Linked DNA regions of Arabidopsis thaliana. The protein of the gene in region 3 binds, or shares a complex with, the protein of the main gene of each other region. Each region holds a gene or a part of one and is shown on either strand. Other genes may lie near its edges.

Region 1 (8,110 bases), on a different chromosome or scaffold from region 3:
AAAAAAATAATGGCAGCTTTGGCATCAAACCCCCAAATGCTAACTAGACAAGCTCACGGTAACAAGAAGGAACAATTGTGGAGGAAAGAGAGTTTAAATTTGGAGAAGAAGTGTGGGTTTTGTGTGAGCGTTTACAGTAATGAAAAGCTTGGGAGGTCACATATGGAGAAAGAGTGGAGACTAAAAGCCTTTTGGTCAAACATAGCTCAGCCTACGACTTTGGAGATGGAACCCATTAACAACGTTGAAGAACTCGATGCTGTTCTCTCTCACGCACGCCAACTCTCTCAGCCTATCATCATCGAATGGTAAACACACCAAAATCATATCTTATCCAATCTCCACAATCCAAATTAGATTTGGTTCTCTATAGGAAAGCTAGTCCAGAGCATGGTCAACACTTACGGAAAAATTAGGTTAACTAAAAAATCATACAAAAATGCGTTCAAGTTTTTTTTTTATCCCGGCTCCGATTGGTTTGTTGAACTCTCTTTTGTTATAATGATGGATATCAAAGGAGTTCAATATTTTTTGTAGTTTTCTTGCTAGGTTATATTTTTCTCGCAAGTCGCAAGATCATTTTGCCGGATTTTTACTTTATTTTTGACAACTCAACCACACACCAATCAAAGCCTTTATATATGTTTGGTTATGAAGAATTGTGAGAAATATTTGGGCAGGATGGCTTCTTGGTGTCGAAAATGTATTTACTTGAAGCCTAAGTTGGAGAAATTAGCGGCAGAATATAATAACCGGTAAGCTAACAAAAGAATCAACAATTTACATGGATGTTATTGCAAAGGTTGATTATATTGTGAACAAAAATGATTTTTCTTACAACAGAGCAAAGTTTTACTATGTGGATGTAAACAAGGTCCCTCAAACCTTGGTGAAACGTGGAAACATTTCGGTAAAATGCTTAAACATAATTTTGTCCTTCTTTTCTGATGTGGTATGTGCCAAATCTGAACCAATTACTTCCATATTCGTGTGTTATGCAGAAAATGCCTACTATTCAGGTATGCTTACTTTCATCTAATACAACATCAGTATTTTGAGTTTCTTGATACGCATTTGACAATAAAGTAATAGTGAAAAAGTAAATTAACATAATAATGAGAAAAATGAGTGGTGAATGCAGTTATGGAAGGAAGATGAGATGAAAGAGGAGGTGATTGGAGGTCACAAAGGATGGCTTGTCATCGAAGAAGTTAGAGAATTGATCAACAAATTTGTCTAGTTCTCTCTTTTTTTTCATTTCCTACCTTTTTTTTTTCTTTTAAAAAAAATTAATATGTACAGTCAGTTTTCTTATTTTCTTTCTTTATACAATTTCAAACTTAAAAACTCCTTTTTTTGATAATCAAGAAATTTCACATTTTTTTTTCTTTTCGTCGAGATTGAGCTTTGTTAATTAAGAATGGCTAAAGTCAAGGTACAATTGTTCAACCATTCAATTAGGAGGACAAGCATAATCAGAGTAGTAGTTACATTGAAGACAACCATGTTTGGCAAGTAAATGAGCTACTCTATTACAAGTTCTACGAGTGAATGAAAAGCTAATGTTTTGGAAGAAATTTCACATTTTGATTTCTATTTTATACTAATAATTTCAATTAACGATTAAATTAATCAATTCATTAATTGAGCATCATCGTCGCTTTGGCCGAGTGGTTAAGGCGTTTGCCTGCTAAGTAAATGGGGTTTCCCCGCGAGAGTTCGAATCTCTCAGGCGACGAATTTTTTCACCTTTTTTTTTTCCTTATATGTTAACCTCCAGTTTGGCCTGCACTTGCAAATTAATCGACAACCGTGAATTGTTTTTTCTTTTAAATTGGACACGATTGCTTTAGATTTTGAGACTGTAACTCTTGCCAAAAGCTACTTGTTTTTTGTTGTTCATATGCTTCATTCACACAGAGATAGATCAATGTGGATGAGAGGAAGAGTATCACAAAGGTTCTTCTTAATTGCAAGAGAAAGGCTTGCGGATTAAAATCACTGTGAGCTAATGCTTGTGCTCAATCTCAGGCCGTGGCTACAGAAGCTTCTAGATAGTGAAAAATTCAGAGTTTGGAGCCTTTTACACTATGGAGATACACATTATGAAGAAGCAACTGATTCCTTCTTATATCAACCAAGTCATAAAACAAATCATACAAATCAGTGAACCACAGAAGAAGAAAAAAAACTAAAGCTGGAGATCATCAGACTTATAGCACAAACTCAAACACAAACCTTCCCCAATTTACCAACACAAAGAATCTGTTTCCCAATCCTAAACTTTGAAACAAGCCATTGAAAAAACAATCTATGCAAAAGACAGAAAATCTATGAGGCAGTCTCTAAATAAGAAACAGATTCTCCCACGCACCTAGATTTTAAGAAAAGAACCTCTGCATCCCTGGTTCAGGAGAGCCCATGCTGCAGTCAGCGGTTAGTGAAAGACGTAGATAATGTCTTCTTCTCTTGCGATTGTGCAATATGCTTTTCAACTAAACCTGATACTCTTTCAACTTTCTTATCCTTTGGAATGCAATCGGCTGTAGAACTCAGTGAAGTCAAGCCGGAAAAAGAGAAACTTGAGATCTACAGATTGTTGCAGAGGCAAGAGAGATAGGAATCCATCAAGTGACGATGTGTATTCCTTTGCAATACTGTCCATATCTTGACTCATGCTTTGTAGAAATTCTCCAGCACGCTGTGTTAAGCCCTTCCTACCCTCACTGATCCATGAACCGGGCTCTTGCGATTTGTTTTTTTCTCGTCCTGATTCTTTAGATCTGCAGGAAATCGGTGATATTAGAGATCAAATTGTGACCCTAAAATCAGAGGAAAATGTTTGAGCAATAGTTTAAGGTCTACTTTTGTTTGAATATAAAAGACAAAACACACCTTATTTGCAACTCGTGAATTCCTTCATACAAACGATCTGCATGACTCCTGAACCGTAATATAAGCTCAAACAGGACGAAAAGTGATTCGCGGATGGTCTGTGACTGTTCACCCAGAAGAGATTTTCCAACAATGGCGTTGAGGTACTTCTCATGCGCTGCCAAGAGATCATCGAGGTCTTTAGCAGCTTCCATCTCTTTTGAGAAATTAGACCATGATACCTCCAATACCTCAAACATGATGTAATACTGAAAGTTAGTAACAAAATGGTTCATTTCATTCCAAAGGACCTGGCACCGCCTCAGGGCTGAGAGTAATTGCAACTTCACCGAACTTTGAAGCTTAACAAATGAGTTCGAAGTGATGCAATTTGGTTTCATGGTCTTCCAAATTCCGATAAGAGCATGCTCTACCCGTTTCAACTTCCAGAGAAAATTGAACACTCTCAGGTATTTAGACAAAACAGACTCAGTAAACACGGTATCTAATGGAACCCTTGCCTCGTATTCCAATGAGAATACATCCCAGCCTCTGTCTCCACTGCCATGAGGCATCATCTTCACTCTCAATCTGTCTAGCATGTCACGGTCATCATACTGTGCATTTGATGCTCGTATTGCAGCCTCAAGAAACCCAGCTAGCTCAAATGAACTAATATTATTGGCTGGCTCAGAAAGCTTGGGTCCTACAATATCCATCAAGTACTGGACAAAATCACCTTGACCAAGTAGTAAATAACGCTTAATCGCAAGACAATGCTCCTTAAATTTATATCTCTTATATAGAACATCCAACAGATGCTTGTCGATTCTCTTTGCTGCCTCGGTTACAAGATGTTCAAGTGCATCTGTTTCACCATACCCGAGACCTCCTCGCCTAGTTGTTGTCCCAGAGGCAGCTGCTGCTTCTGAAGCTGCATCAGCCCACCCGTGGTCATCACAGCAAACACGAAGAAAGTTTATAGATTTCCCAGTTCTCAGAATTCTCTGAGCTAGACTTGGTGAAATAAAAGATGGAAGCATTGCTGGGTGGAGCTTATAGCCTTCTCTCCAAAGCAAATCGACTTTAACCGGCTGACCTACGACAAAGAATTCACCAAAAGTATCTTCCAACTCCCCTTCTAGAACCCAACTTCTCACCATTTCAAATAGCGGAGAACACACACATCGAAGCAAACTCATCATAAAATCATGAACAAGCGGATCACCATGCTGTGCGTGCAAATGGATAGCCCCAGCCATCGCCCCACCTCTCAAAACCTTACACTTGTCAACCAAAACAGCCATCAGTCTCATTTTCACCATAGGCTCCGCAAACCATACCGACAACCTCCTCAAAGAAAGGTAATTGTTTGAGCTTGCTGATTCAGAAACCAAAGGAATAGGATTCATGGCCTGCGCTTCTAGCACAGCTAACAACTTATAATAATCAGAAAGCTCATCTTGCAACGCCGCACAAAACGCTTGCCCAACAGTTCCCACATCCTCAGCTGGAAACCGATCCATACTCTCAGTTATAAAAGTCTTAACCTTTCTAAACAACCAACCAAGCTCAGAGAGCATACGAACCATAATCCTCGTAGCTCGAGGCACCTTAACAGACTCCTGCACGGCATAACCGTCGATTTCACTGTTAAATTTGACATATTTCCCATCAATTCCTTGGCTAGCATACAAAACATCCCTCACTAGAACCTCCTCCGTCACTTCATTCTCTTCCTTAACCAAAATGGCATACTCTCTAAACGCAATATCCCTCAAATTCTCAGGATCTTTACTAACCAACAAAACCCCATTACTCCAATCCTTCTTCTTAGCCTCTCCACGGCTCAAAACCCCATTACCAGTATCACCAATCCCCAAATTAGGTAACAAAACCGAGGAATCAAGACCATTTATAGCCGATTTACGATCGTCAGAAACAATTTTAAGCAAATAAACAAGAGCCCATTTGTTATTGACACTGCCAGGTCCAGTTTTGGAAGCGAACTTAGTGTAGAGATCGGCAAAAGCGAGTGCGTCGGAGGACTTACCCTGAGTAGCGAGACGGCGTTTGAGAGACTCAGCGATAGCGGTGGCGTCAGGGAGGACGGAAGGAGTAAGACGACTAGAGAGGATACGAAAAGCGTAACGAAGGGTTTTGAGGAAGGCGGGAGAATTGGGATCGAGATTAGGGGTTTGAGGGTTTTGTGAGACGAGACGAAGAACAAGCTCTTGTACTAGATCTGCAGCCTTCTGCTGATCGTCGTCTTCCATAATCAATTCAAGCTTTTGCCTTTTTTTTCTTCTTCTTCGATTTCACCTTTTTTTGGATTTTTTTTGTTCTTCGAAGTTTTTTTGGTGAATTTGATTTTTGAAATCGAAAGAGGTTTTGCAGAGTTTGGGCGAGTGAAGAGAGTAGTGAGTGAACGAATAAAAAAAGATTGGGCTTCTTTTGGACTTTAGAGCTATGTAATTATTTTTCCTCGGCGGGCAATTGAATACATATGTTGAAATCCAAAAACATTGGAATAAAAAAACATTATGCAAAATATCTTCTCATTTTTTTTGTTATAAGTTTTATTTCAAATATATTATTTGAAACAACGGAGAAAAATAATGTTTGAATTAAAAAAAAGTTCACAAGTTAATTGATATGTTACGTAGAATTTTTTTGTTTAATGGAATTTTGAGAATTTTCCATTTTAAAATTAATAAAGAAATATATAAATATGAAAAAACCTCATAATATTTAATTCACAATAAAAGGTACCAATAAAAATGTATACTTTTTTAAAAAATTAACTAGCATTTAAAAAAGATTATTTGGTTTTATCTACCAAATTTATGTATTTATTGAGCAAAATAATAAAAACAGTTCATTTTAGACATTTGTTCTCTGAATAGAGGAATGATTTCTCTACTCATTTTAGGTAGTAAAATGTTTCTCTACTCATTATTTTCATCAATGAAGATGAAAATAAAGGAAGCTTATTTCCACTTTAATCAATTGTAAAAAGAAAAGTACAAGATCGGAATTAAAAAGTAAAAATATTAGACCTATTTTTACGTATGTGGAAAAATATTCCCTGTAACAATCACTTTCTACTTTTTTCACTAATTAATTTCTCTATATTCTGTTTGTTACAGATTGCACACCATTTATATATATACACTACTTTACTATCATTTCCATATCTTTATCTTTTTCACACCAATTTACTTCCTTATCTAATCATAATTGATTCAACAACAAAAGTTTAGAAGTTTATAGCTATTTATGACATAGAAAAATCCGTGAAGGCAAATACGTACAATTGTACATGTGTACGTATACGATTCTTCTCTTATCTTTATCTCTTAATGATGTTTTGGTGATTACAGTTTAAGAGAAGAACGAATAAACAATTGAAACTCGGGTATTATCACTTCAAACTTCAAAGGCAAGCGAGAGATTATTATTAAAAAGTAAACACTCTTTTACACAACAATCGCAATCATCTAACTAATTACTCTTTTAATGATGATTATGCTTTTCTCTTCTTTAAGTTCCTCTTCTTCTTCTTCTTCTACGTAATCACTCACTCTCTCTTGCATCATCATAATCCTTTGCATGCGATTCGGCTTTTAGCGGCGGTGATGCTACATTGAGTTAGTACCCACTTGCCTCTCTTCTTCTCTTTTATTGCAATTTTCGACCTAACCCAAGTGTTCGAAGCTCGTGGCATTTCCGTAATTCTCTTATTCCTCTCATTGTGATTCTCTCACTCGCTTACCGATTGAGCTTTGTAAACTCCCAATTTCATTGCTTTCCTGTCAATTTGCAAGTTGCTCTATGACAATTTGGAATCTTTAGCTCAGTTTGACAAAAAAAAAGGAATCTTTAGCTCATTACACAGTCGAGCATAATTCCGTTAGCTTGGTTTCAGTCTGTACTTGATAAAGTTTTGTACTTTCTTCATTTTTTCAGTCACTCGAAGTTTGAATTTGGTTTTGTGATGGGATCTAAACAAGTATCAAAGACTAGAAATGGTGGATTTAGCAAGTTAAAGACTGTTGAGTCCTCTGCATCTTCAACAACCTCGTCTTCAAAACTTTATCAAGAGGCGTCTGTAGATAGCCATAGCTCCCCTACTTCTTCATCGGTTCGAAGCAAGCCTCAGTTACCACCTAAGCCTTTGCAGTCCAAAGAAAATGTCACTGTCACTGTGCGTTTTCGTCCACTCAGGTGAATATGTTGATTTCTTTTGTGTAGGATTCAAACACTTTAGTTTTATATGTTTGTTCTGTGGATTGTTGACATTGGTTTATGCTTCACTTAGTCCAAGGGAAATCCGGAAAGGAGAGGAGATTGCATGGTATGCAGATGGGGAAACGATAGTGCGGAATGAGAATAATCAATCAATAGCTTATGCCTATGGTTAGTCTTAACAGTTTGACTAGTGTTCATGACTTCATGAGTTTCTGTAACCATCATAAATCTTGTTCTGTGGAATGGATTGAAGTTTCATGCATCATGAATCAAGACCTAAATTAAACTAGATATCAAGGTCCAATCTGCCATATTTTTTCTTGAAATTTCTGTTGTCCTTTCTTGCAGATCGTGTTTTCGGGCCTACTACGACTACACGCAATGTCTATGATGTTGCTGCTCAGCATGTCGTTAATGGTGCTATGGCGGGGGTCAATGGTATGGACTAAACACTTATTATTGCCCTCTCTAGTTAAGACTTTATTCTTAGAAGAGAAAAAGATATTTTTAGTATCAAGCTTACCCGAGCTACAGTACCATGAACAGTTGCATGACCATTCATTTAGAAAATGAGATCTTTGAGTTGCCAAACTCTATCTAGTGCTTGTTCTAGTCTCTAGAACAACTTTAAGTTAGATTTTCTTGCCAATTTGATTTTATTGTAGTGACTTTGAGTGTTAATTCAACCACAGGGACCATTTTCGCATATGGAGTGACAAGCAGTGGGAAAACTCATACAATGCATGTAAGATTCACTAATCATGTTATTTCTTGCTTTTCATCTTATTATAATAGAACGTATTAGGTTACTACCTTGTACAATGTACTTCAATGTGTCATCCCAGACAATGCTTATCTGTCAGAGAGTCATTTACCTCTTCCTTCTTTTCTGGCTAAATCACTGAGTAGTTCAGGAACAAAGTTTCTCTCCTTTAGTAGCCATAATGATTAGCAATAGAACTCGATGTTTGAATCCTAAGATATA
Region 2 (10,544 bases), on a different chromosome or scaffold from region 3:
TCTCTGGTATGGCTACAAAGGAGGCAAACTCAAGTGGCTTGAGCGTTTTGCTTATGCCAACACAACAATCTACCCCTTCACATCTATACCACTTCTTGCCTACTGTATCCTTCCAGCCATCTGTCTCCTTACTGACAAATTCATCATGCCACCGGTTAGTAAAATTATCAGAGAAAAGCACTTAGAAGCTGCATCAAATGTGCTAACTATCTGTTTTCCCAATTTTTCTTTCAGATAAGCACATTTGCTAGTCTCTTCTTCATCTCACTGTTTATGTCGATCATTGTAACGGGAATCTTGGAATTGAGATGGAGCGGAGTTAGCATTGAGGAATGGTGGAGAAACGAGCAATTCTGGGTCATTGGAGGAATCTCAGCTCATCTCTTTGCGGTTGTCCAAGGTCTCCTCAAAATCTTAGCAGGCATTGACACAAACTTCACCGTCACATCAAAGGCAACAGATGATGATGACTTTGGAGAACTTTACGCATTCAAATGGACAACACTGCTGATCCCTCCAACAACTGTCTTAATCATAAACATTGTTGGCGTTGTTGCAGGCATCTCAGATGCCATTAACAATGGATATCAGTCTTGGGGACCTCTATTTGGTAAACTCTTCTTCTCCTTTTGGGTCATTGTTCATCTCTACCCATTCCTCAAAGGTCTGATGGGTAGACAGAACAGAACACCAACCATTGTGGTGATTTGGTCAGTGTTATTGGCATCTATCTTCTCTTTGCTTTGGGTAAGAATTGATCCTTTTGTGCTCAAGACCAAAGGACCTGACACTTCCAAGTGTGGCATCAACTGCTGAAGCAAAATCTTTTTCGTCTTCTGAAACTTTTTCTGTACTTTGTCGAGAGTGTTTTCACTTCTCTCTTTGGATTGCATAATTGGATTTTGTTTATTGTATATTAGCCAGTAAAACAGATGGATCTGGGTTTATTGTGAGCGAGTAATGCATTGTAAGAAAATTTGAACAAAACTACTTTTTAGTTACACAGTAAAAGATTCACAGATACTTCCCTCAAGAGACATGTAGTTGCAGTGAAAACCCACAAATCTTGAATGCAAATTTTTAACAGAGAGCCTGAGACTTGTTCTTATATCGTGGAGTTCACAAACAAAATAAAGAAACGACAACAAAAGCCTAAACACACGCACACATCTCATAACAACTTCTCAAGCTGAATATCATTTGATAACATTAAAAAACAAATTGAATTGCCTGAGTTTGTTTAGTTAAAGTCTCACCTCTTATTCTTTCGAAACACCAAGGATCCACTGGGAGAGATGAGTCAAGTATGGCTCAGCCTGGGAGCCTTTGCTCAAGACTGGTCCTAAGCTCTGCAACTCCGAGTTGAACTCCCTTTCGAAATTGCTGGTAGAACACGTAACAGACATATTAGAACAATACCGTGATAATGAAGTTCAAAAATTCTAACAGCAACGGCTTTTGTAGAGATAGTGTAGCCATTAGTTTGAAAAACAATTCCTTGTTACTACTTACAATATGGACTCTGTAACGGTTGTGTCTCTTATCATTGTCTTCTGTGGATGAGACTGGCTATTGATGTCGATAGACGATGATATCAACCACTGTGTGGCTGCAGCATATTGCAGACACACTGATTTCAACTTCTCCATTTTCTGCACCATCAGTAAATATGAGTGTAAAATATTGATAAACATTACACTATTATTAGTGCGTTCAGAATTTTTGCTCTTGTTGCACGAAAGAGAAGCACATCACACTGTTACATCTGTCCTGAGAAAACATAACATTTAGTGGAACAGCGACAAACCTTAAGGACGTCAGGTAAAAGAAGCAAGCATCCTCTCAGACATTTATCAAGAAAAAAGTCGTGATGTTGTATCACCTGCAAGATGATGGCACATTGTTCAATGAAGAATGTTTTCCCTGCAAACCAAAACAAAGCAGGTCTCTACACTTACCTCATCTACACTCCTTGTGGATTGTAGTCTATCGTGCATTACATGCCAATTTGGTTCGAGAACCTGAAGAGACATCCCACATAAAGACAAGCAAAAACAACATTAGAAAAACTTAGAGAGGCAATAGTTGCTAAAATAAACACCAAATCATCTCATAAAGAATTATGTCTTTATATACTTCTGGTGTGATTTCTCTCCTCTGTTCATTGATAGTGTACTTATTTCTCCAGAATCACGTTTTCAAGAATGTATTTCTCGAAAAACACAGTTGCAAGAAGTGCCTACATTTGTAAGTATGGTTTTTACGACTACAGAGATATCTGGATTCAATATACAGAGTGTATGTCAGCAATTCTAGAAGTTAGTTTTCCAGAGACTTACACCGCAAAATCACAATGGAAAACAGGATCTATGAATAGACAATCAGAATCTTTAAAAAACAAAAAAATATTCAGATTCCATTCTATTAGCAAAAAAAAATGTTTTAAAAAACAAACAAAACAAAACAAAAAGAACATTCAGACTTGCCTCGAATGTAAGATAATGTAGAAGGCTACTGATGAATTTAAGCATGCTACGGCAGAGAAGCGATGATCTAAGAATTGCTGTACCCTTAGAGTTCATAGACCGAATCCCCTGTAGAATTTTCACAGCAGTTTGTTAGCGAAGCAAAATGATTAAAATGGTTTTAGAAGAAACCAAAACTGAAACAAATTACAAGCTACACAATATTATATCAGTCCTTACTTGATGTATCTGCCAAGCACCACAAAGCTGGCGTTCCACATGTTTGCAATGAAAAAGAAAGCGGAAAATTAACTGGTACTTTGACAATGCTTTCTTTGATATGACAATAGATAGTGGCCATTGAACCTGAAACACAAAGCCACAACCAACAATCAAACAATTGAGTAGCCAATCGAATATGCATTTGTCGATTACTTATATAAGTATGAATGATGACTCTAGAAATGCATTAGTAGTTATATATAACAACCATTAATAGCCATTAAGCTGTGTTATTACTTATATATATCTCGACGAACAAAATAGTTCGAATCCAGATACAAACAGGTAGTTGCAGACAAGGCAAGAAAGGAGCAGACCTTGTAGCTCAAGGAAAATGTCTCTAGACCAGTGATGCTCATTGGGTCCTCAATACTATTGCTATCAGTGTCCTTGTGCATTCCCAAAGTCGTAAGCAATGAAGCTCGATCCTAAGATATGAATACAAAGTGAGAACATATAATGTACAAACTCTGTAAATTCATCACATCCAGGAAAAGACAAATTAACTGCTCACCACACAACAAGTCAAGTCTTCGTGACGAGGATCTGCTGCAGCCGCTGTGGTACGTAGAGCAAGATCTAGCAAAGACTAAATAATACACATCCATTTAGATTCCAGCAAACAAGTAGAGGCCATAACGATTTAATAATGGTAAGAAGCTTTGTCTAATATTTTGAATCATGCTCTAAAGGGGAAAAAAGTACCTGCAACTTTTCAACAGATATTTCATGCACTTTTTTGTTGAGCTCCTCTCGAGCAATGTCCATAAAATGAACCAAGAAATCACCCTGTAGTTCATTACATTGTTATACCAAAATCAATGACTGAAGAAAACAACTCAACAACAGACTTTTCACATTGATAAATTTGTGCCTAGGAAATTCTGAAGAACTCTGAAGATAACTGGTTATTCATGAACAGAACCAGCATACCTGGTCGAGAAGAAGATAGTGCTTTATAGATCGAAGCCTTCCAACAAGGTCATACTGAATCATATACTGATGGTCAGAGAGGTGTATTGACGAGGAACGACATCAAAGAAGCAGTCATCATAAAACAAAATAAGTATTACCTTATCCTTGATGAGATTCACAAGCTCTATACTGGCAAATTCGTGAGCAGCCTTTATGCATTCAAGATAATGATGATTTGACCCAAATATTGTTAACTTAGATCTCTCTGATATGGGAACCTGTTAAAAAAAATCAGCCAATGTCGGGTCCAGTGTCACAAACACTGTTAATTGTATTAATAAACAGGAAATTCATTCACAATCATACCTGAACATTGTGCCCACATTCTCTCATAACGTTTAGATATTTCCCTGTGGTCAATATTGTTGCAGCAATGTTTGCTAGGAAGCCAGGAATAGTATCCTTAAGGCTGTATCTTTGGCTCCAATATTTAGCTGTAGAGTCCTGACTGAGGCTCTCCTGTACAAAAAAAAATTGACATTGTTAGATCAAGCAATTAACAATAGTGCAGACGAGCTGAGCAATCGAAGTACCTTTTTGAGAGACCTGTTCTCGGCAATGAAAAATTCCCCATACGGATCATCAATGATCCCTTCATAGACCCACCTTAATTAAACACTATTTAAAGTTAGTTGACACATCAAAGAATAATAATATAAGCGATCTAGCAAATAGGGTAACCATGTACAGATCTGCCAAACCAAAAGATAACAAACATGTTCGCTAATCACTCCATCCAAACAAAGGAAAAACATAGTCACAGGTTGGACTTAGATTTATCTGAGCATTCCAAGCAATAACAAAAGGGAAAGGGCAGAGATTGTAGCACAATGTTTTTTTTATGGGAGTCTAGTTACGAGCAAGAAAGAAAGAGGCATGGTAATCAACCTTTCCAATATGCTTAGGTATGCGTTGCTTGCACACTCCGTCATTTTCTCTAACAATGACCTCACTGAATTATCACCAGCCATCGCTTTAGCCTAGGCATGATAGTCTTCAAGATTAGGACATTTAATAAAAAAGCTAATTCTAGTACCAAAAAAATCCAAAAACTTTTAATGACCAAAGCAGGAATCTACCTGACTTTGCAAGAGATTAAGAACACCAGAACCCACAAACTGCTTCGTTGAAGCCTGCTGAATTACTGCAGCCAATGCGCGCATGGATCCCATCATGGGCTGAGAGATACGAAAAACAATCGATCAGCATAATGTTTACGTAACTTGTAGCTTGGATTATTTGAAGAAAGACAGACCTGACAGTAAAACCATAATCCTTGGATAGAAAGTCTTCCAAGTCGAAATTGATGTTCCAATTGTGCCACCATGGCTTGATAATCCTGGTAAAAGAGAGGATGGTTAATACTAGTGTAACAATAGCAAAGAATGTTGTCAAATTACCTCAAAGCTAACATAAAATGATATCCTCAGTCCAAAAAATGCATGACATGTGTTAGACACGAAACTCAAGATGTGAAATGGAAAGAAAAGAATCAGACTATCAGTTTATTCAATGCGGCAATAGTAAGAGAGGGATTAGAGAGACAGTAAGAACTTGGAACAAAGAAGACAGTAAGAGCTATATGTGTCATCTTAGATATTCATACATATGCATATACACACACTCAGAAATGTGATAAAAAAACACCAATTCAGTGGACAAGAAAGAAACCCAATAAACAAACTAAGAGCATTCTAAAATGAGCTTTCCAAGTTCATATTTTTAGTTTACTGAGTAAATCCCCAAACTTGACTATTAGTTAAAAAAATCCATATCCAGTTCGCAAAATCCCCCATCTGTAACAGAAAGGGAACGAAAAATAACTCAACAAACAATGGATCACAATTTCCACAAAGCTAGCAACCTATATCACATACAAGGAGGAGTGCCCTGAGTGCAGCCGCGAATGCATGGTTAACTAGCCCGTTCTTGAACTGCGAGCTTGACTCCACAAATTGGTCAATCAGCAGATAATATTCACATAAAGGAAATATTCTTTTCGCCAATTCCTGCAAAATTATTTGCAACGGTCAATATATATGAGAAGAGCCAATTAAATAAAGAATTACAATGTTAATCCGTTATAACATCTCTAAAAATCCTATTCAAAAGAGAGAACCATCCTAGACATAACATAGTAATGCATGTGTCCATTTTATTGGACTTCGGAGATAATTGAACTTTCAAGAAGTCAGAACACCAATGAAATGCATCAAGTTTCATAAACATAAATATACACTTTGCAAACATCACTGTAACAGTCTCAATATGTGAAAGACTTTGTACATACATGATACATATGCACTAATTCCGGTAGCTCTAAGAAAGAACAGATCAAGCATGGTTAGAAATCACAGATTTTTTGCAGTTGACTACTGTAGACCATCATGATAAAAATGTTTGGGATAGGAACCAAAAGTTATTGTGTTGAGTACTACTTACCTGTAGTGCCAAATCCATTGATGGATCAACTTGGAAAGCTATACTATCCTCCTTCCCATGGAATCTTTTAATTGAAATATATCTCCCTTCAATTCCAACCAACGCAGATAAGAGATCATCAATGACGATAAGCTCCTGCATGCCAAAAGGAATAAAAAACAGTTACTGAAATGGACATAACAAAAGAGGTGACACCAATTCTAAACCTAGGCTAGGAAGTTCCACAATTGTTTAGCTCAGGTCAATTATCCTAGTCTATGCCACGAAAACGAGAAACCAACTTCACCTACAATGATGCCAACTTGTAAAAACTACACAACTCAAACCCAAGCTTTAAGGACCCCAACACTAGTTTCAAGGTTACATAATAACAATCTCACAGAATAAGTGGAAGCCAAGAAAAAAAGGGACAGACTTGCTTTGTAAAATAACACAAACCTGAACCGGTGTGTCATAGCAGCCAATTGCCTGCTCTACTCCAGAACTGCTGAAAGCAAAATATAAAGGTCAATGACTCTTTAGAATAAGATGAAAAAGGAACAGACTTTGGGAGGTTAAAACAGAGATGTATTACTAATTTTTAGTATAAAATTTCAAAATACCTAGACGAGTCTAAAGTAAACCTCTTAGAATCAGCAAACTTGGAGCTTGCCCTCGTTTCCTGAGATAAACCCATTGTCAAAACTACTTTTTCTCAGAAGTTACCAATGTTCACAATTAAATAGAATTTGAACGAATTAGAGAACTAAAATCAAGCACATCTGAAGATCGAGCACCTGATGGAAGCGACCAGTGAGAAATGGTCTGTCTTGGTTCCAACGAGGAGTCGTAGGGCACGAGATTGGCGTCATTGATTCCATTGCTTCGCTCCCAGTCTCTGGAACTAAAAGTTTAAACCTTTATGAAAAAGAAGACACAGATCAGTCAGACAGTCACCATATACCGAACCATCTCCGGTTTTCCTTAAAATGTCCGGTTTTAATTGAACCAGAAATTTCCAGATCCTGGTTTCAAATTCGAAATTAAAAAAGGACAAAACCATTTTTTTAAGTAAAGAAAGAAAAAACCAGCCATTGCTCCTGCCCTGTCCTCCACCTCCAGCTTTGAAATTCACAGAAAATGATTATCTCTTTTCTATTTTATTGGCTTCTCAAAACGAAATAACGAAATCGCCTCCTCTTCTTCTCCTCCTCGACCTGGAAATCAATCTTTCGCCGCCGAGTTCTTCTCTCTGCGGCGGAGAATCAATTAGCAATCTCCAGGTTTTTCACTTCAAAACCTTTCCTTTTATTATCAAATTTTGTTCCTTTTTAGCTTTAGGATTTGATATTTCTAGAACCCAGAAGAAACTCTTGCCCATAACATCTCTATATTTATTGGTATAGAATTAGGTGAGGGAAAAGAGGATGGCTTTGATCGGAAAATCCGAGAGATTCTCTGCTGATTTTGTGATGGGTGGTGCTGCAGCCATTGTTGCCAAATCTGCAGCTGCTCCAATCGAAAGGGTGAAGCTTTTACTGCAGAATCAAGGGGAGATGATAAAGACTGGACATCTCATAAGACCTTACACTGGTTTGGGTAATTGCTTTACCAGAATCTATAGAGAAGAAGGTGTTTTGTCCTTTTGGAGAGGAAACCAAGCCAATGTCATACGATATTTCCCTACACAGGTACTACATTCCAAGAACCCTTACTTTAGATCAGCGTGCTGAGGTTTGTGTTAGATTCTTATTGTCACTAAATTTAATTGCTTTTAGGCTTCCAACTTTGCATTTAAAGGTTACTTCAAGAACCTTCTTGGATGTTCGAAAGAGAAAGATGGTTACTTGAAGTGGTTTGCTGGAAATGTAGCTTCGGGAAGTGCTGCTGGAGCAACAACTTCCTTGTTTCTGTACCATTTGGATTATGCGCGGACCCGTTTAGGCACTGATGCAAAGGAATGTTCTGTTAATGGCAAGAGACAGTTTAAAGGGATGATCGATGTGTATCGTAAAACTTTGTCAAGTGACGGTATTAAAGGTCTTTACCGTGGATTTGGTGTGTCAATAGTGGGAATCACTCTTTACCGAGGAATGTATTTTGGGATGTACGACACCATCAAACCCATTGTGTTAGTCGGTTCCTTAGAGGTAATGTCATCTATGTATGCCGTTATTATTTCTTAATCTATAGCAGAAAATAGCTAAAAATGGTTCTTTGATTCCGTGACAGGGAAACTTCTTGGCTAGTTTTCTATTGGGTTGGAGTATTACTACCTCTGCAGGCGTCATTGCTTACCCTTTTGACACACTTAGGAGGAGAATGATGCTTACATCAGGACAACCTGTTAAATACCGGAACACCATTCATGCCTTAAGAGAGATATTGAAGTCGGAAGGGTTCTATGCGCTATATAGAGGAGTTACTGCGAACATGCTTCTTGGAGTAGCAGGAGCAGGAGTGCTTGCGGGATATGATCAGCTTCACCAGATTGCTTATAAGCATTGGGTTCAGTAGTTTTGGACCAAACCCGAAACGATGACAATGAAAGCTGAGCTCAAAAAGAGAAGGTTAGTAAACACCAAGAAGTCTCACTTGCTTTCCAATGTATTGTGTTAATTAACAGAATCTCGGAATCATTAACCGATTGAACCAGCAGAAGATAGGGAAAATTGTTCATAGTTCTTGTGCAGTAACATTGTTATATCAATAATCCAAGAAAGGCCTATTTGATTTTTGTGTACTGGAGCAAGTTTGTTTCATGTATAAAAGATGAAATAGGTGAAAAAATTTTAAAGCCTTATGAATGATACAAACACAAAAGAGGAAAACTTGCGTTGTTGTCAAGCGAGAAGCCAGAAGTTTTTGTGGCGTTTGGTGGTGATTAAGTAACCGCCGAGCTTGCGGTTCTTGGGTTTAACCGCGATTGTCATGCAAGAGGCGTTTTCGAGGCAGTATTTGAGAACACCTTCGTGTCCACGGCGTCTCTTCCACGCCCATCTCTTCAATAGCCTCCAGACCGGAGGTTTCTTCTCTTGTCCAACCACTAAAAGGCTCACTTGTTGTTTCTTTGATTCTTCAACTATCTTCTGCCCTTTGTCTTTGTCTTTCCCCTCTAACCTCCTTATCTCCACTTCTATCTGACATTCATAAAAGAAATCCACACGTCGCCAGAATTTGATCAGAACAGTAATAGTGTAGCTTTCATTATATGTATAAACAATCGAATACCAAGTGTGACTCACCCCGGGTCGTTTCGTTTGGCACAGTTTCTTTAAAGTATGGACCAATTCATCGGTTTTCACCTCGCGTTTTCGGTTCTTCCTTTTACCTAAAACTCAATCCGAAAAACCTCATTAGCCAAACCAAACAAACCTTAAACAAGAAAATTGACAAAGAGGAGAGAAAGAGAAGAACTTTTTCTAAACGGTTTTGCAAAGTATAACAGAAAAAGAGTGTCTTGTGGTTGTAAAGTATGCGTAATAGCCCATTCTAAAGCTCCGGTAGAAGCAAGCGCTTTATCAACCACCACCATTACTCTATTCCCGCCTTCCGCCTCCTCCTCAACCGCCTCAACCGCTGCCACCGCCTCTTTTTTTCCTTCTCCGCCTCCAATGTTAAAGCTCTTGGCATCATCTTGTTCTTTTTCTTCTTCCTCCTCTACAATTACTTTGACTCTTTCTTCTTCCTTATCTTCAACCTCTTCACTTTCATTGTTTGCTTCTTTGGTGTCTTCTTCTCCGGATCCGGCATCATCACCATTTTCGCCTAGAAACTCGATTCTTTGGTCTCTCTCTATGGAACTCGAGTCCGGTTTGAACCTAATCGAAGGTGAATTGATCCGGACTCTTCTTAGACTCAACTTGGCTGATTTCTTGAGCGATCTCGCCATGTTTTTGTTTACAAAAAGAACTCAAATGGGAACCTTAGCATTGGTTCTTGAATGTTTTGAGCGTATGTATACGTGAGGAAATTTTTTGAGAGAGGACGTGCGTGCCATTAAAGATGTTTGATTGTTAATGGTTCCACACGTTGTTGTTTTTTTCTTTTTGTCAAGCTCTTCTGTTTTCTTCATTAAATTAAACGAGTCCAAGTTTATTTGATAAATTGTTAGCTCAATCGATTGTGGAATTCACTACCGTTGGAGAAAAAAAAATTTATTTTGTAGACTCGCAAAATCATGAGAAATCTTTGAGTGGTGCTCTAGTTTTGTCGTGGTCAAAATCATCCACTTTGTGTAAAAGAACAAATCCAAATTTGATTTGTTTTCTTTGCTAACTACAAAACAATTCTAGTGGCAGCCCTCAAGGGTTATACAAGGTCACTTGTTCCAAACCATGAACTCATAAATTTATCATTTTATCACATCCAAATCCAAATTATTGAGAAGATTAGGTAAGT
Region 3 (6,080 bases):
GTTTGTTTGAATTTTGAGATATAAAACTGGTGATTGATTAATTATGTGAAGTCATACGTTATACTTTTATTTTCTCTCTTTTAATCAATATTTCTTAGTTAATGTTGCTTCTTTTACACTTGGAGTTTCGTCTTTATTTTGATTTATAAAACTGTTAATCAAATACCTAATTAAACCATTCAAAGATGTTATTAAAATAATTAATATCACAGTTTTACATTTCATTCCATATAAATAAGCAGGAATCTTATTGTTGTTCATCAATCAAAAACAAACAGAGCATTAAGCATATATTTGGCTATACTAAGGCTTTTTTATTTCTCAGTTTCTCATTATGCCTATCAAAAATGTGTTTTCACTCTTAGTGGTTCTATGCATCATAGTTTCTGTAAATGCTCAGTTACCTCAGTTTCCGGCTCCGTTTCTTTTTCCATTTTCGTTTCAACCGATTCCTGGAATGCCAGGATTACCTGATATAACGAAATGTTGGTCATCCGTGATGGATATTCCTGAATGCATTGCAGAGATTTCTCAATCCATTTTTATTGGCAAATTCAGTAATTTAGGTTCTGCTTGTTGCAAAGCATTTTTGGACGCTGAAGCCAACTGCATACCAAAAATTCCACTTATTCCGCTTTTCCCTCCGATGCTAAAAGAACAATGTTCAAGAATTGCCGGTGTAACTCCTCCTACACCGAAATAGAGTTTTAAATTATTATTTTTTAAATAGATAATTTTTTTTCCAATTTATTTCTTACAATTTTAGCTTACGCTACATGTTATACTCCAAAAAAATATCATATAAAGTAAAAACATTTGAGAAGTTGTATTTGGGTTCAATATTTACTCATTCTTCAATTCTAATGAATAACAGCTTGAAACATCGATTCTATAATTAACTTTGTCTTACAATGTTTCAAAACTTGGAATTATATTAGATAATTCCCTTCTAAATAGACAGTTGTGAGAATTAAATAATTTTTTACGAGATTTAAATTTTACATAGTAATCTGTATTTTCTAAATACAAATTTTAATCTTACACATTCTATAGATTCTATATAACATGCTTTTATTGATTACATATAATAAGGTATTTCTCAGAGTACAACACAAAGATAAGACAAAGACGACTGACGACATACAACATCAAGAAAAAGACGGACGCAACGGAGCCTCTAGATGCATATTGTTGTAAACAAATTGAACGATATAATTGAGGGAAAAAAATAAACTTAAGAAAATAAAAGAATAAACATATTTAAGTTATTAGAAAATATTAAAACACATATTAATATTTTTCAAAACAAAATAAAGAACTTATACTTCTGTTTTGAATATATCAATTTTAATAGAATTAGTTCATTAGTTCAATAGTTTAGTATATTAAATAAAAAATTTGAATATAGAAACATTATTTTTGACTTTATGTATATATTTCTTTTTCAATAAGGTTAGAAAAAATTTCTATTTATGTTTTTAAATATAAAAAAATTTGATTTGACATGTGCGAATATCTTATTAATAAATTTGACACGTGAGTTAATAATTTTGAAAACTCATTTCTTATATAATGAAATAAGCATTTGTTCGAGAAAAAAATATTAAAAACAAACATCTTCTATATGATTTATCTCAATTATAAAAAATCTGTTTTTTTCAGATGTTAAAAAAGAAAAACAATTGTGTCAGAGTTATATTATTTTCTTTTCATTAGTATAATTCATTAAAAAAAATTAACACTATCAATCTTAGTGTCGGAGTTATATTTCAAACATATTTTTGTTTAGAATATTAATATGATTATTGAAAGACAATAAACTTTTTTTCTTTTGACATAACACAATTTACATTTATTGAAAGACCTCCAAGTCCTTTCCCTTCGTCTCCCACTTCTCACTTCACACTGTGAGTCTGCGACTATCTCCAAGACCAAGCTTCATACTTTATTTTTGCAAATTCCGTTTCTAAACGTAAGTTTTCTTATCTTCGTTTCTATCAGATTACTCCTTAATTCTTAGTCTCGAAATAAAAAATTTGAAATTTATTCGATGTTATGCAAATTGCCGCCGACATAAAAACCCTAATTTCAATCTCATTTTTCATCTGAATTACATTTCTTTTGAATTGAATGTTTCTGGGTTGTGTTTTGGTTTTGGTATTAACTGATCTATTAGACTAATCCTTGTTCACCTATCAGATAATATTATTGGGCTCTGAAACAAATTTGACTCACTTTTGTGTGTGTGAGCATTGTATCTTCACTACAAAGCTCTAGCTTGAAATGTTGTTGTGTAATTTATAAGACTCTAGTTTCTAACTTCTTATGTCAAAATCACCTAAGAGTCTTTGACTTGGTTCTTGTTAGATCATAGTTCACTTACTTTTGTCTAATTTGGTTTGGTAGAAACTCTATAATTCACTAACTACCTTAGGACTTTAAAATTGTGGAGTTTAACAGGTGTGATCAGTATGGATGAGGAGGCATCTCGGACAGCAAGAGAGTCACTAGAGCTTGTGTTTCGCATGTCAAACATCTTGGACACGGGTTTGGACCGGCATACTTTGTCAGTTCTCATAGCTCTTTGTGATCTTGGTGTTAACCCTGAAGCTCTAGCTACTGTTGTGAAAGAGCTTCGTCGCGAGTCTATCCCCGATTCTGTCACAACCACACCATCTATACACTGATCAGGTATTGAGAATTTTCTCAGTCTAATGATGATTGACGAGTCTATGCCCAAGTCTACCTCTTTCTGTTGTTTTCAGATCTAACATATCGACCGGTCGAAATTTATGTTGCAGGTATGCAATGGATTATACAAGTATTGTGGTTGGTATGTGAATCTTGTTACTACTTTTTTTGTATCATTTAAACAAAATTTGTATGGATGAATTATAACTTCTTTTATTTGTATGAACCGTTATTTGAAAGCCAAAGTAGCAGAATGCAAAAAAAAGTATATAATTGTAATTTTATCTCTCAAAAGCTCATAGAAAATTCAGTGATCATGTGTCACTAAAGCAGAATGCAAAAGGAATTTGGGATCATCTGATTCACAACCCCTGGAAGGTAAAAACATTCTATGTATCCCCGAAGAGGGAAATCACACTCAATCAAAATCTCTGCACACCAAATCTCCGTTTTACATTCCTTAGTATAAGTCTTCCACCGAACTATCACTCTCCTTCCTCAGGCCAGGGTTTTGTCACCGAAATAAGATACTTAGAGGACGGTTCTTCAAGTCCTCTAATCGTGAACGTGCATATATCACCGCAGACTAGTTTCGAGTTTCAGAAACCCTCGCTGTCCACCATACGTTATTCTTTGACTCTAACAAGCAAACAGTAGGGCACAAACCAATAATTTTCTCGCGAGAAAATCTTCCAGTACATTTTGTTGGCTCCCAAGTCTGTGTCTTTGGGTCGTAAACTTCTCCATAATTCTCAGCAGTGTCATAATACTTACTGCTGATGCCTCCAAACACAGATCTTACCGTCGATAACATTAAAACATGCTTCTTCTCGAGGGACATGCATCTTGGGGAGTTGACGCAAATGATGAGTTTTACAACCAAGTAAATATCTGAACCAAGTGATACAACAGTCGAAGAACTAGGATGTTGGTAAGGAAAGTTAGGAAGTGAAGGGACTGGTATCAGTTTCTGGTTGGGAGAAAGGGAATGTACGAACCAGCCAGGTTTTTTATTTAAGTTTAAGCAAACATAGAGACACTTCTCCTTTTTTCCTATAAGGGATCTTGCGGCCTCGAGGTCAGGGGAAGCTAGGAGTGATCGGAAAGTCTTTGGAGACTAGAGATAGGGTTGGATAATGGCACACTTCTACAAAGTATTGGAAATGTGTTTTTCTTTAAGCCTAGAGACAAAAGGCCTGAGTTTTACTCTTTCACAATGGCTAATACATCCATAGATTTCTGTCTTTAATTGACTCTAATACTTGTATTTCTTCCGTGGCCTTTACGCCAAATCAATCTGTGGTAACATCGGTAGGAAGAAAATATTATAATATTCGTCTTCACCTGTTAATCTACTCGGTAAGTATACGGTATAGTTTCTGCGTAATGGTTAAACTTTTAGAAGACAAGTATTAAGCATATATAGACAAAGAACCAAAGTAATAAGCTAGTTATATACCCACACTCAATGGTTAGCTTAATGATTCACCAGAGACGCTTTACTCTTCAAACTCACTCATCTCACATTCATCATTACTCCACAACTGTACAGCTGAAGAATATCAGTCACACTGAACACTCTTTTTAACTCTATTGTTTGCCAAAATCATGCATGGTCACAAATTCATAGCCGAGGGACATCCTCAGAGGAGTTGATTGCTTCTTCAAAGCAATGAGCCCCGACATTGAACCTTTTGGTTAGTACGGTGTTACCTTTTTTGCGGTTTTACCAGCCTGGTAAGGAGCTCGCAGATGCAAAGTGAATGAAAGACCTGCGCGAGTCATTTTGATGAAGTGAATGCTCGCGCTGGCTTGTTAACAACCCAACAACCTGGCTTCTTGATGCATTTCCCGGGCCAAGTATGTGCGTATATCTTGAGTGGAGGAAACGAGGCAAAGAAACCTGGTGGGGTGAGTTGTAAGATCTTTGGGAAACGGCGTTCCTGAGATCTGCTGAACTCCGGCTAACTGGTATAGGCCGGGAAAATCGGTTTGATCCATTTTGGAAGCTTGTGTGGGAGCGAGAGTGGGAGAGATACATAGGAACTGTGTGTGGCTGCATTGAGGTGGATGGTAAAGAAGGGTCTACTCTGATGGATATTGGTAGCTCATGAGATGACTGCAATGGGGTTGTGGAGGATGATGATAAGAGAAACGATGACGTCGGGGTCATGCTAGGAGTCCGAGAAAGAAAGGGTGTGTGCTCTGATGGGGGCTTGTCGGTACTGATGCTTCTTGCATCGCGTTTGCAAACCGGGCAAAAGGATTTCCTCTGGCCAAGCCACAAGTCTACACAAGCAACATGAAATTCTGCCAAGACAACAAGAAGAACCAATTAAGAATGGTTATGCATGAATTTTTTTTTACTTCGAACTGAGTCAAAGTACTTACTGTGATGGCAAGGTAGGATCCTTAGCTTGTCCCCTTTCTCATAATTCTCAAGGCATATGCAGCACAATATAGATGTAGTTGCTTCATCACAAATACCGTTAAATATGGTAGTAGGCATACGTATTATCATGCTTTTGGGCATACGATGAAAGTCATTGCCATTAAGAGCCAGAATACGCCGACGCCTAACTCGATGCCTACGGACAAAGAAGCAAGTAGCGAGCACAGCCGACATGGCGAGGAGAGATATGAAAGAAATAGCCATGATTGACCATGCTGAAGTCTCGAAACTTGGCATGAGCCACACTTCAAAATCGGTACGACCCGCATACTCTTTAAGTACTTCCCCAGTTGCTTTGGAGACAAACGTACCATAAATAAGTACACCAGAGGGGTTTCCTGCCACTACATTAGATTCACAAGATCATTAACAACTAATGTATGTAACCAAAGTCTCAAGCAACAAATCAAAACAAGAAACAATACAAAGCCTACGACAAAATAACGAAAAAAGGCGAGGGAAAGAAGTGTTTACTTGATACTAAGAACCCAAAATCTTCATAGTCATAAACAATAGCAGCTTTATAACCAGCCTTTTGAGCATTCCTAATCTTATCTTCGAAACTACAACCACCGCGGATAATCAACACATACGGAGGAGACACAGTAGTTCCATTTTTCACATTCACCGTATTCACCAAATCCGAACAAGCATCGAGTGGCTCTGCTACATACAACACACCGCCTTGATCCGATCTCTTAATCATCGGAGCTGAAAAAACAGTAAATCAATCACCATTACCATCAAAGCCAATGAACAAAAATCTGATAACAACCCAATTTCTCAAATCTGATTTAGAACAAACCATAACTTGAAAAAGACAACAAAGTTTCAAACTTTCTCTATAAACGATCAAACCCAAATAACAAAAGCTGAACAAATTCAAAACCCAATTTCTCAATTCTAATTTGGAACATTTCAAACAAACAATAACTTG

What was found.
Region 1: GIP1 (region 3) and SPC98 share a complex: the UniProt entries of both Arabidopsis thaliana proteins name them as parts of the gamma-tubulin complex.
Region 2: GIP1 (region 3) and AT5G17410 share a complex: the UniProt entries of both Arabidopsis thaliana proteins name them as parts of the gamma-tubulin complex.

What each region holds. Positions count from the first base shown.
Region 1 is NC_003076.8:2,053,781-2,061,890, reverse strand, and holds SPC98 (spindle pole body component 98), read right to left. Parts: upstream 5,364-8,110; 5' UTR 5,151-5,363; coding exon 2,896-5,150; intron 2,784-2,895; coding exon 2,522-2,783; 3' UTR 2,032-2,521; downstream 1-2,031. Other genes in the region: WCRKC1 (WCRKC thioredoxin 1), read left to right, coding at 1-308, 681-755, 844-1,039; AT5G06670 (P-loop containing nucleoside triphosphate hydrolases superfamily protein), read left to right, coding at 6,872-7,101, 7,196-7,293, 7,474-7,563, 7,791-7,870. UniProt on the Arabidopsis thaliana protein: Gamma-tubulin complex is necessary for microtubule nucleation at the microtubule organizing centers (MTOCs). Required for the positioning of the gamma-tubulin-containing complex on pre-existing microtubules and for the proper organization of cortical arrays.
Region 2 is NC_003076.8:5,727,131-5,737,674, reverse strand, and holds AT5G17410 (Spc97 / Spc98 family of spindle pole body (SBP) component), read right to left. Parts: upstream 7,066-10,544; 5' UTR 7,025-7,065; coding exon 6,941-7,024; intron 6,826-6,940; coding exon 6,767-6,825; intron 6,652-6,766; coding exon 6,603-6,651; intron 6,300-6,602; coding exon 6,165-6,299; intron 5,732-6,164; coding exon 5,600-5,731; intron 5,062-5,599; coding exon 4,978-5,061; intron 4,901-4,977; coding exon 4,802-4,900; intron 4,703-4,801; coding exon 4,611-4,702; intron 4,329-4,610; coding exon 4,256-4,328; intron 4,182-4,255; coding exon 4,029-4,181; intron 3,941-4,028; coding exon 3,821-3,940; intron 3,735-3,820; coding exon 3,681-3,734; intron 3,537-3,680; coding exon 3,453-3,536; intron 3,337-3,452; coding exon 3,262-3,336; intron 3,176-3,261; coding exon 3,065-3,175; intron 2,832-3,064; coding exon 2,706-2,831; intron 2,595-2,705; coding exon 2,487-2,594; exon of another isoform or gene 2,076-2,486; intron 2,022-2,075; coding exon 1,959-2,021; intron 1,883-1,958; coding exon 1,808-1,882; and 6 more. Other genes in the region: IRX3 (Cellulose synthase family protein), read left to right, coding at 1-154, 235-816; ER-ANT1 (endoplasmic reticulum-adenine nucleotide transporter 1), read left to right, coding at 7,571-7,834, 7,922-8,293, 8,376-8,660; AT5G17390 (Adenine nucleotide alpha hydrolases-like superfamily protein), read right to left, coding at 8,987-9,283, 9,389-9,474, 9,561-10,035. UniProt on the Arabidopsis thaliana protein: Gamma-tubulin complex is necessary for microtubule nucleation at the microtubule organizing centers (MTOCs). Required for the positioning of the gamma-tubulin-containing complex on pre-existing microtubules and for the proper organization of cortical arrays.
Region 3 is NC_003075.7:6,037,235-6,043,314, forward strand, and holds GIP1 (AtGCP3 interacting protein 1), read left to right. Parts: upstream 1-1,820; 5' UTR 1,821-1,972; exon of another isoform or gene 1,973-2,460; 5' UTR 2,461-2,471; coding exon 2,472-2,687; 3' UTR 2,688-2,691; intron 2,692-2,801; 3' UTR 2,802-2,992; downstream 2,993-6,080. Other genes in the region: CRP4 (ECA1 gametogenesis related family protein), read left to right, coding at 335-703; AT4G09560 (Protease-associated (PA) RING/U-box zinc finger family protein), read right to left, coding at 4,418-5,001, 5,083-5,487, 5,618-5,854. UniProt on the Arabidopsis thaliana protein: Required for gamma-tubulin complex recruitment to the microtubule organizing centers (MTOCs). During mitosis, modulates gamma-tubulin complex localization, spindle stability and chromosomal segregation. Necessary for gametophyte development and embryogenesis.